Linked DNA regions of Lonchura striata. The protein of the gene in region 2 purifies or fractionates together with the protein of the main gene of each other region. This does not show direct contact. Links are inferred from orthologs where the notes say so. Each region holds a gene or a part of one and is shown on either strand. Other genes may lie near its edges. The genes, in order: MTF2, EZH1 and JARID2.

What was found.
Region 1: the proteins of EZH1 (region 2) and MTF2 purify together in Homo sapiens (affinity purification with mass spectrometry; 3 studies listed by BioGRID and IntAct, with this or other methods). This does not show direct contact. The link is inferred for Lonchura striata from reciprocal best matches to the Homo sapiens genes EZH1 and MTF2.
Region 3: the proteins of EZH1 (region 2) and JARID2 purify together in Homo sapiens (affinity purification with mass spectrometry; 4 studies listed by BioGRID and IntAct, with this or other methods). This does not show direct contact. The link is inferred for Lonchura striata from reciprocal best matches to the Homo sapiens genes EZH1 and JARID2.

The regions. Positions count from the first base shown.
Region 1 is NC_134611.1:20,719,349-20,723,092, forward strand, and holds the start of MTF2 (metal-response element-binding transcription factor 2), read left to right. Parts: upstream 1-1,061; 5' UTR 1,062-1,223; coding exon 1,224-1,228; intron 1,229-1,568; exon of another isoform or gene 1,569-1,619; intron 1,620-3,744. UniProt on the Homo sapiens protein: Polycomb group (PcG) protein that specifically binds histone H3 trimethylated at 'Lys-36' (H3K36me3) and recruits the PRC2 complex, thus enhancing PRC2 H3K27me3 methylation activity.
Region 2 is NC_134627.1:6,234,958-6,238,701, reverse strand, and holds the start of EZH1 (histone-lysine N-methyltransferase EZH1), read right to left. Parts: upstream 2,315-3,744; 5' UTR 2,249-2,314; coding exon 2,238-2,248; intron 1,740-2,237; coding exon 1,619-1,739; intron 1,278-1,618; coding exon 1,149-1,277; intron 870-1,148; coding exon 750-869; intron 239-749; coding exon 118-238; intron 1-117.
Region 3 is NC_134603.1:89,554,752-89,558,495, forward strand, and holds the start of JARID2 (protein Jumonji), read left to right. Parts: upstream 1-1,408; 5' UTR 1,409-2,027; coding exon 2,028-2,072; intron 2,073-3,464; exon of another isoform or gene 3,465-3,582; intron 3,583-3,744.

The DNA.
Region 1 (3,744 bases), on a different chromosome or scaffold from region 2:
TACCTTAGTTTCAGTTGCTTATCCCAAGAGGGAAGATGGCTTTGAGAACTTAGGCTGTTTGAGCAGGAGAGAGACTGGAATCCTAAATTCTCCATCCATTCTTCTGAGTTCAGCCATTCCTGAGTGACACCAGTGGGTGAAATCTGATCCAGGGCCGCTGGCACTCTGGTGTTGCACTGGGCAGAGCTGCACACAGCAAAGGCTGCTACAGGGCTAGGCCAAGCTTTGCAGTGTTTATAAACGTGGCATTGGGCCAATTGCTGTGCTTAACGATGCGGACTATAGACACTAGCCCAGTACTGGAGTCTGAACAACCACAAAACACAATGATGGAAAACAAAAAGGTATTTCCAGAACCAGATAACTGCTGGTGTTGGAAGGGACTTGTGGAGATCATCTAGTTAAATCTCCCTGCCAAGGCAGGGTCACCTAGAGCAGGCAACACAGAAACGTGTCCAGGTGGGTTTTGAATGAACCCAAAGGGAGACTCCATGAGTCCCTGTTCAGCCCGTTCCATTAGCTCAGCTAATACAGCTGCTGCTAACACCTGGAACTGAGGTTCAGCTCATCTCCTAAAATGGCAGCATCCCGATGTCGGCGCAGAGGAGCACACTGTGCATTCTGCAGCCTCCGGTACCGGGGCCGGGCCTGGCCAACCGCCGCGGCAAGAAGGCGGACCCGGGGTCATTCCAGACGGCAGGGCCGCCGCTCCAGGGCGGGATCTTTCCCCGGAGCCCGGCCGGGCGCTCCGCGGGGCCCGGGCCGCGCCGCATCGCCTCAGGTGCGGCGGGAACAATGAGCGCCCGGCCGCAGCGAGCCCGGCGGCGCGCACCGCTCCGCGCGGGCGCGCGCCTCAAATAGTCCCCCTTTGTTCACGGCGGCCGCGGCTCGGCTGCGCCCGTGTCCCTCCGCCGCGGCGCCCCGCGCCCGCCCCCGGCGCTGCCGGCGCAGGCGGGGCCGCCGGGGCGGGGCCGCGGCCCTTTGTGCTCCCAGAATGCACCAGCGCCTCCTCCGCGGGAAACAAAAATGGCGAGGGGCTGCGCTGGGGCCGGGCTGCCCGTGAGGCGGGTCTGACCGTCTCTCGCCGCCTTCCGCCTCGGGTCCGTGCCCGGGGGGCCCGCTGCGCGCGGACCGCCCGGCCGCACCGCGCCGCGCCGCCGGGGGAGGCTCCCGAGCTCGCCGATTTCCCTGTATGAGGCTGTTGGCACCACTGGGGAGACCGAATGAGGTGAGGGATGGGGGGGCGGCCGGGCCCGCGCGGTGGGGGGGGCGCGATCCCCGCAGGCCGGGCCGGCGGTGCCGCATCCCGGCCCCGCCGCATCCCGGCCCCGCGGCGGGGAGCGCGGCCAGGGGCCCGCTCCGGCGGGGAGCCCGAGGCCTGGGAGGGAGGGAGGGGGAGGGAGCTCCCGGGCGGCCGCCGGCAGGCGAATGTGAGGGGTCAGTGGTGCTCCTCGGTGACCAAAACAAAGGGAGGGAGGCAGCGGGCCGGTCGGCGGGGCCGGGGGCTGCAGCGGTGAGGTGCCATCAGCCTCGCGCCAGCTGTATTTTCGTCTTCTCCTTCAAGGATATTGTCCGAGTAGGCTGCGTTTGCTCGAGTGCGAAGAGAGCAGCACAAAGAGGTAGTGGTTTTCGTTGGTAACTTTGTGTTTGGGGCTTTTTTGTTTGTTTGGGATTTTCTTCTGTGGCTTTTTCTTTCTTCTTTTTTTTTTTTTTTTCTTTTGTTTATTTGAAGTGCCTCGCCTCTTAATTTCAGTGAGGTTTGACGATTTGGATGTGCACAGCAGGTTTTTAGTCCACTTAAATGTAGTAACTGTTGCTGGCTGAAAGGGTATGCAGTAATGCGTTTTCCTTTTTTTTGGTATTGAATTCTTTGGAAAGAATGGGCTGATACCTCTTGTAGTGAAAGAGAACAATATGGTTCTGTGCTGGATGCTCTGAACACTGATATTAGTGTTGAAATACCAAGGGTTGTCGTTCATCCATAGAGGATCAGGGTGCTATTAGAAGTAAAGGGCCTGCATAATTAAATGGAAGATTCTGCCAGGAAAGCAGTGTAGCATTATGGTTGTTTCTGGAATTTGTGATAGGCCTAGCTTATCATAACTTTGAAAGGTCAAACGCAGTAATGGATAATAACATGGCTTTCTCCTGACTTAATGTAAGGGAATGTGATCAATGATATACACTCAAACTGCCAAAAGTATGGGATAATAACAAAAAAGTTTCCCTCTTGTTTTTTTCCTTTTGATCTGTAATCGGGTGGGTAAAAGTTAACCTGGTAATGTTTGTCCTTTTTTTTTGGAGAGCTCAAATTACATTTAATTTGAAAGCATTTGAGATTAAAAGAAGAGGTGAAAATGTTTCATTTCTGTATTATTAGAACACAGGTTAATGAGTTCAGAGCTTTTCATTTAAAGGAGAATAAGGGAAAACAAAGATTGAACGTATGAAAGGAAATGCATAATACAGTGAAAATGAGAAGGGTCTTTGCAAGGAGCTACAAGCTGTGAAAAGTAGATCTGTGCTGAGAGTATAATGTAGTAATGTTTTCCACAGTTAACCCTTATTTTGTCAAATACACATGTGTGGCTTCTCAACAACTTGCCTTTTCTGTTCTGGAAAGAATTTAAAATCAGATCTAGACGCTTCTCATATGACTTAATATAGCTAATCAGCAGGGTATATCTATTTTTTTAATAGGTGAAAGAGACATGTATTGGTAGTTAGTATGAAGTTATGTTTGTCCTTCCCTGTACCAGGAGGTCAGGTAAAATTTATGAGAAGAGCAGCTGTAACAAATAAGTTCCAGTTAATTTCCTAGTGGACAGTGGACTTCAGTATTCCCTGGAGATGGATGTGAATTAATGTAGAGGCACTGAAGCATATTTTGTTCTCTTCATGTGAGTTGTAGAGAAGGAAGCTTGGAGATGTGACTAGAAGCCAGTATGAATCTTTGATTAGTTTGTGAATTGAACACATTTGTTGTGTGAGCGGCCACTGGCCTTGCTGCAGAGTTGGTTTCACCTTCTTCACAGGCCTTCCTTGCTGGAAATGGAGGGGAAGTGTGTCTTTGAGCAAAACACAACAGGAGAAGAATTATAAAACCACAGGTATGGCTGGAGAGATAATCTCCATGGAAGAGTGAAATCAAGGTGCTTAACATTCTTTGAGAGAAGGAGTGCTACTGATGAGAGCGTTCCTGATGACTCTGGACATACTTCATTAGCTAAATATCTTCACTTCTGTTTTAGATCTATTTATTTTTTTAATTCTTTGGAATGCTTATGGAGGTAGCTGTTCTTGCAGACTGACCTTAAAGAAGATAACTTATTATTTTGGTCAGCTCTGAAATCCTTTTTCTTTCCCACTTCTCCCAGAGCAAGGTAGCATATTGTCTGTTATTTCTTTCGTTGCTGGGGTGGGTGCTCACACTCCCTTAGGTCTGTTGTTGGAGGTACTGGATTTGGATACTGTAGAAACCCAAAAGGCAGTTGCTGTATTCACAGAGGTGCTGGGGATACAATTAAGTGGAATTTTGGTCGGAAAAGGTGTCTTGTGACCTTGTGACCCGGTACCATTGTTTTCTCCCTGTACCTTCATGTGCAAACACATGATCAACCCCAGACAAATGGCTCTTGCTGTACACAACTGCCCTGCCTTTCTTCCCTACCTACTAAATATGTTGTTTGGTAATGATCTTTTAAACTCTAACCCTTTCAGTGTTTATATCAAAGAAATTTAAAA
Region 2 (3,744 bases):
AGGGATCTTAAAGCTCATCTTGTTCCACCCCTGCCATGGACAGGCCACTAGGCCAGGTTACTCCACGCCCCATCCAATGTGGCCTGGAGTGGACAGAGCTGGTTGCTCCCAGGTTACCTTCCTCTCCATGAACTTTCCCATCATAGTTATTAATAAGTTCTTCAATGAAAGTTTCATCTTCTTCCTTCACCTCGTCGCCCATGTAAGGGATATTGCACAGAACTGTTTCATCCTCTACCTGAAGAGAAATCAGACACAGCTCAGAAAAGCAGAGTTTGCTGACCCCAACGAGGCTGTGCCCAAGGCTGCTCTGGTCCCTTAGGTCTGCCAACAACACGGTGCACAGTAAAGGTTCAGATGTCTCATCACTGACACATCAGTGTTATCCCATTGTAACCCAGTCACAAATGAAAGAACCTGCCTAAGAAATAAAACTCTTCATATAAAGGGAAATAAAAATCTTAGGAAAAAAAACCACAAACAAACAAACAAAACCCCCAAAAAACATATTTACTCCTTGATTTCTGTGAAACAATGGTGACTCTGTCAAGAAGACACATGTAAAGGAGACTACCTGGTGAGGTAGTGTGGACACAAGGCTGTCTGGGATTCTACAAAACAAGCAACTAAAGAAACACTTCATCATCTCTCAAGCAGATGTTGCCTGAAACAAGTGGGATGAAGAACCACTTCCCAGCTGTGTAACAATCAGATGCTGACCTCGCTGAGACCCCACGCTTCCCACGTACCATGAAATTCTGCTGAAGAGGGGACCAGGAGTACATAATGGGCACCAGTGCCACTGTGTTCAGGGTCCTCATGTACAGTGTCTGGCTTGAAAATCCTGGGAAAATGCTCTCAACAGTGCACTGGAATACAAGTACAGAAAAGGTCAGTGAGGAACCACTCTGGGAGGCTGCCACAGCCTGAGGAAAACTGAATTCAGGACAAATACAGAAGCCCCACATCCACTCTGTGGACTCCATCCAGGGAAAAGCCTTGGGGGTACTTTTTGTCCATTTCTGCATTCCAGAAGTGTGAGGCATGGCCTGACACTGATCTAGGACAACACAGACAAAAACTCATCCATATTCCCAAAGCTCCCTGCAGTCCCCACTTGCTGATGCTGCCCCTTTTCCTCTGCACACCTGTTTCAGGAATGGGTGCCCACTGACTGGCTTCATCAGCTGCACTGGCTGCACTCGAAGCTTCTTCCAGTCTTCATTAAGGATTTGAGTCTTTTCATGAACCTTTGCAAAGTTGGCCACAAAGAGAGCCTGAAAGGAGAGAAAGGAGCTCTCAAAATTTAAGAAAACCCATTGAGAACTCTCACAGCACTGAAACAGTTCAGCAAGGAGATCCTGTAAAAACCAGCTGGAAATCAGCTCTCCTGCTGCAGATACACCAGTGCTTGTTCAATGGCCTCGTGCATGTGCCAGCTGCTGCCCACAAGCTCAAGGCAGAGCACGAGCAGAAGTGGCATCTCTTCCCATTGATCCAGCTTGCAAGTCAAGTACAGCTTATCAATTCATCTTGCTGACACCCTCTGGCACCATTCACTCTGAGCTGAAATGAAGCTTTTTGGTGCATCTCAGCCCAGTCCTTGCTGTGGCTGTACCTTTGCTCCCATGTTTGCCTGGAACCTCTTGAGCTGCCGCAGACGCATGTACTCGGACTTGACTTTCCTTTTCCAGTACATGATACACTTGGATGTCGGAGGAGTGGTAATTTCCATTTTTCTGTAACAGTACAGAAAGAATAAGCATTAAATAATGGAGAGCTCAACCTCGAAACAAGTGGTATTAGAAAAACGCCCCTGTGGATGGGAAAAACACTCTATGCATCACAGACCTAAACCAAGCAAAATAACGCCGTAGCTCTGCAGTGCTCCTGACTGCGGAACACCTCCAGCCCGAAACAGGCCCGGGACAGCAGCGAGGGGCGGTGCTGACCAGAACCGCCCGTCCTGCTCCCCGAGCCCCCGGGGCAGCACGTGAGCCCGGGGCTTGCTGCGATCCCCGCCCTCCCCCGGGACACGCCGCCGGAGAGCCGCGGCTCCACTCCAGCCGGGCCCGAGCGCTCCCCACGCCCGCCAACAAGAAGCGGAGCGAGCCGAGGCCGGCCGCGCCGCCGGGCCGGGGGAGCGGGTCCGAGTCCCGCAGCTCTCCGCCCCCGGGGCCCGGCTGGTCCCACGGGGACCCGCTACCCCCGGGACCCCCGGCCCCGCCCGCACTCACTGTTCGGCCATCGCGACAGGGGGAGGCCGCGCGCCCCCGCCGCACTGCGCACGCGCCGGCCCGCCCCGGGCCCGCCCCGAACCCGCCTCAGGCCTCGGCCCCCGGCCCGCCCCGGCCCCGGCCCGCCCCGGGCCCGCCTCAGGCCTCGGCCCCCGGCCCGCCCCGGGCCCGCCTCAGGCCCGGACCCCGCCTCGATCCGCCCCGGGCCCGCCTCAGGCCCCGGGCCCGCCTCGACTCGACTCGACTCGGCCCAGCCCGGCCCTGACCCGGCCCGGCCCCGGTCCCTCACACACCAGGCCCCACCCTTCCCCGCTCATACCCAGGCCCCGCCCCTCACATTCCCCAGGCCCCGCCCCTCTTATCGCCAGGCCCCGCCCCTCACACCCCAGGCCCCGCCCCTCACACCCCAGGCCCCGCCCCGCCCCGCGCCGCCGCCGGTGCCGGTGCCGGTGCCGGTGGGGCCGGGACGCGTGGCCTGCCCCGGCGGAGCGGACCCGTTCCAGCCTGGAGGACACCCCTGTCGGCCGCGGGGAACGGGCTAAACGCGGCGGCTCGGTGCCGTGCCCGCCCATTCCCGGCGTGCCTGGGCCCACCCGGCCCCGGCCCGGTCTTGCGGGAAGCACTTGGCGGCAGCGCCGTTCCCGCCCGGTTCCACCGCACTCCGAGTCCCGGGACAGCCCTGCTCGGTGTGGGCGCGCTGCCCGACGAGCCGTCCCGGTGGTCCCGGGTCCCTCTGGCCCCACCGCCGGGCCTCCCAGTGGCGGCGCCGGGCAGGAAGCGGCTGCTGGCGGCAGCTTTCCTGCCCCGGGGGCCCCGGCGCTGGGGAGCGGACGGAGCTGGCTGCTGCCCCGGCGCGGCCCCGGCCGTCCCCCGCCGGCTGCCGGCTGCCCCGGGGCACCTTTTTGGCAGGGTGACTGCGGGGGACGAGCAGGGCCGGCCGCGCCCGCAGCCCTGCACCCCGCCCGCATCTCGGAGCTCCGCCGGGTCAGGCGGGGCGGGGGCCCGGTGTCCCCCGGCCCTGCCGGGCATTGGCTCGGGAGCGGGTCGCCAGCGCTGGGACGGGCCGGGCTCCGGGATAGGTGACCGGGTGAGTCCCAGCCCGGGCGCTGGGATCCCGCTGTCGGTAGGATGAGGATGCTCCCTGGGCTATGGCTGCTCTGCTGCCCGCTCCTGTCTGTGCTCCCCCGGGTGCGGCACAGGCAGCCGGGGGTGCTGCACGGAGGCCCCAGGGGGTTGGGCACAGGGTCTGGCACACGGCGAGTCCCCACAGGGCACCTGGCGTATTTCTCTCCTCTCCCAGTGCAGCTGTGCTGGAGGACAGCTTGCCTGGCCCCTCCTGGCCTTCTTTGGAAGGATCTCTGAGCAGGGTTTGCCACGAACTTGTCTGCCCCCAGGGCTGGTGTTGGCTCAGAAACTTCTCTTCCAGGTTGCAAGGACCAAGGCAGAACCAGGAGCCCTCTGCTCCCTTAGCCCCTTCACCTCTACTGTGCTCAGCTCAGCCTGGGAG
Region 3 (3,744 bases), on a different chromosome or scaffold from region 2:
AAGAAAAAAATACACTTTGAATTACTCGAGAATTGGAACTTGGGGATTTCACACCGACGCCCGGTCCAGCGGCAGAGCCCGCCGGGGATGGGGCAGGCGGGCAGGGCGAGGACCGGCCGCTGCTGCCGGGAAGCAGATTTGAGAGCACACCTCCACCCGCACAGAAAGGTTATTCCCGGGCGCGACCTCGGACACCCTGGAGACACCGAGCGGGTCTCGCACGGCGCAGTGTGTCCCGAGCTGACACCGCCCGCCCGGCAGCCACTCAGTCCGTCCGTCCGTCTGTCTGTCCGGCAGACCCAGACCACCGCCTCCTCGGCGGGCGCAGCACACAGACACGAAGTTTTCGGGCCGCCACTTCCCAGCCCAACCCAGACACATTAATCCCTGCGCTCTCCCTGCAGCCTCCCGCGGCGCCTGCCCGCCTCCCTCCTCCCCGTCAGCGATTCCCAATAAACTTCCCCCGCGCCCTCCTCCTCCTCCTCCTCCTCCTCCCCCTCCTGCCGTACCTCTGCCCCCCCGCTCCCAGCCGCTACCACCGAGCGCCGCGGAAGGGGGGAAGTTGGGGCAGACAAGCGGGAGGGGGGAAACCAAAGGGAGGGGGGGCGGGTTGGGGAAGGACGAGCGTGGCGAAGGGGGGGGGGGGGGGGTTCCTTGTCCAGCAGCCAATCGGCCGCCGGGCGCGCGGCGCACGCCGGGAGGCGTAGTTCTGCGCCGTTCGCCATTTTGTGGCGAGGGAACTACAACTTTCCCCACGAGCAAGGACAGTTCTGGGGGCCTGCGCGGCCAAACGTGGCTTTCAGGTGCTGCCTGCGCGGCGGGCCCCCCGTGCCTGTCGAAGCCGGGGGAGACGCGGCGGGCGCAAGGGCGGAGAGGAAGGACAGCCCTTGGCAGGCGGGAGGAGAGAGGAGGCTGCAGCGGGGCGGGGAGGGGGGCAGGGCACGGCGACAGAGCGTGCTGCGCTCTTGAGGGACCGTCGTCAAACTCCCCGCTCGGGTTTCGGCGTGGGGCTCGCGGCGACCTTGGCTGCCGTGTGGCCACGCTGAAATGCCGAAAGAAGGGAGGTGGGAAGAGTGGTGGGCTGTGGGAGAGGGAAGCGCGTGAGGCTTGAGCCGCATGGAGCGTGTAGCGGGGCCTGTTGCATGCGCTGAGCGCGGCGAGAGGCCGGGCGCTGCGGTTGCTGCCCCGGTTGGGAATTAAGGGCGAGCCCTAGGCGGTGTATGCATGTATGTGTGTGTGCGCCGTGTGTCCGTGTGTGTATATATATATACACACACACACGCATACATACATATATATATATACACACACACACACAGAGGTACACGCACGCGCGCGCACACGCACGCACGCAGACATAGATATTAACAACAGAGGAGGGGAGGAAAAAGGAGAAAAAAAAAAAAAAAAAAAGAGCCAGGTCCATTTAAAGTTGCTGGCGGAGAGCTGCTCTCATTGGCTAGGGGGGAGCTGGAGGAGCGGAGACACACACGGTGCGTGCAGCCCTCGCTGCCGCCGCCGCTGCTGCCGCCGGAGCCGCCGCTGCTGGAGTTGTCCCTGCCGCTTTCCCTGCTGCAGCGGCACAAACGTGACTTCCAACGTCCCGATTATTTATCTTCTCCTCCCGGCCCCTTTCCTCCTCCAAGATGTAACTACAGCTCTGACACTAAGGACCTGCAGATCGCTTAGGCGGCTTGAGAAAGAGAAAAGGGGATATCAAGGGCGTCGTTTTTTGTGTTTAGGGGGAAATTTTCCATTATAATGCTTCACTAAAGTGATTTTTTTGTTTGTTTCCTTCGCATTCGTCTTTTTTTTTTTTTTTTTTTTTTTTCTTCCGTCCCCCATTTCTCGGATTTATTGCTAGGAGAATCACATTGTGAGGAAAGAAAGTCGGATTACAAGATACCACTACAAACAACCCCCTCCCCCCTGGATTTTTTCGGTATTTTTTAATTTTTTTTTTAATTGTCTCGGCTTTAATTCATGAAGCAATTGTCCCCTTTTGCAATCAGAATTTGGATACCAGAATGAGCAAAGAAAGACCCAAGAGGAATATAATTCAAAAGAAATACGTAAGTGTTCATAACATACATCGTTTGACTCCCCGTTTTAGGAAATGGCAGTGAATGTCAAGTTTATAGCTAATCTTTCAGCTCTAAGGCTTTGGGAACAAATGTGATGCTGAATTTGATTTTTCTGTGGTGTGGTGGGGGAGTTTCAGAGGCCCCTTTTAATGGGGAAGCCTGCTATCCAGTTCGGTTATAAAACCAGATTTGTGTAGCGATTCCTCCAGTGAATAAATGTATTGACCTCAAATGACACAATCATAATCTAGTTTTAGATGAAACGCGAGGAGCTCGGGGGGCTGCCACGATAGTGTCACCGAACTGCATTTTCAAGCGATTTTCTTAATTCTGTGCTTTTGCATGCTAAAATAGGTTTATTGTTGGGGGTTTTTTTGGGTTTGGTGGTTTTTTTGGTTGGGGTTGGGTTTTTTCTTTTTCTTTTTTTTTTTTTTTTTTTTTTTTTAATTATCTACGTGTGTCTATCCTCGTCTGGTGAAGCGGCGGCGGTGGTTGTTGGAAGCCCTTTAAGTTGAAACCGAGTGTCTGGTTATGGCGAGCTGGGCTGGTTTCTCGCAGTACCACATCCCCTTCTCCTGTGTGCGATCCTCGGCTGCTCTGCCTTGCGATAGACACCGGAGCAGCCGGGGATCGCCTTACGGGCAGCGCGTTCCTCGGGATTGACTGAAATAATGAGGAAAATGGCTCGGTGCCGTTTTAAAAATAATTCATTATGTGGCTCGAAAATTTGGGCTAATCCAGCGCAGCCTGGGCTGTATTTCTGCCTCTCTTTATTCAGCCGCTTAACCAATCCCTCGTAATTGTCTAATCCTTTAAACATATAAATGTGGATGGGTAGTTGGATTTTTGTTCGTGCTCCAGTTACGTTTTGATTGGCACAGGACAGTTTTTCCCTACGTTTGGAAAAGCAGAGGGGATTATCCGTATATGCAGTAGAGCGAATAATGATTTTTATCTCCATGTTTAAACAAAAAAAAAACCACAGCACCAAATTTTGGGGGGGCGGATATGGGGAGAAATATATATAAATCCTCGCTTTTGGGCGTGTTTGATGCGAGGCTTTAAAAGTTGTAGTTTATATAGCTTCTTGTCGTCTGCGCCGATTTCTTTCAGCGGAGGGTGTCCCTTGGCAGGGAGGGTGACCTTCGGGACACTTTGCCTCGGTATTCTATAGATTTGGTAAAAACTGCAGTTGACTCCAGCTGACTGCCGCTATCGATTGCCTGCCCGGCTGCAGGGCTGCCCGGGGGAGGTGGTGGAACGATGTGTGTGTGTGGTTTTGGGGATGAAGGGGAGGGGGGGGGCCTGCGCGCTATGTCGAAGCTGCCCCTCTTCTCCTTTCCACCCCCTCCCGCACCCCCCTAAATTTCCGAATTAAAATACATCCGCATTGCAGAGGAGAGGGGAGCCCGGGGCCGGCGAGTTTAAAGTATGGCATCGAAACGGGAACGGCGGGTGGAAAGTCTGGCTAAACACGCGAGGCGTCCACGTTTCCCAGGCAGGCAGACAAAAGCGGGGTGGGGGGGAAGGAAACCGCGGTGTTATTAATTAAAGAAGGGGGGCGGCGAGAGGAGAAGGGGGAGAGATCACCCCAAAGCCCGGCTTCTCCGGGGCGAACAATGCGGCGCCGCTCCCGCACCGCCGGGCAGGGGCCGAGAGC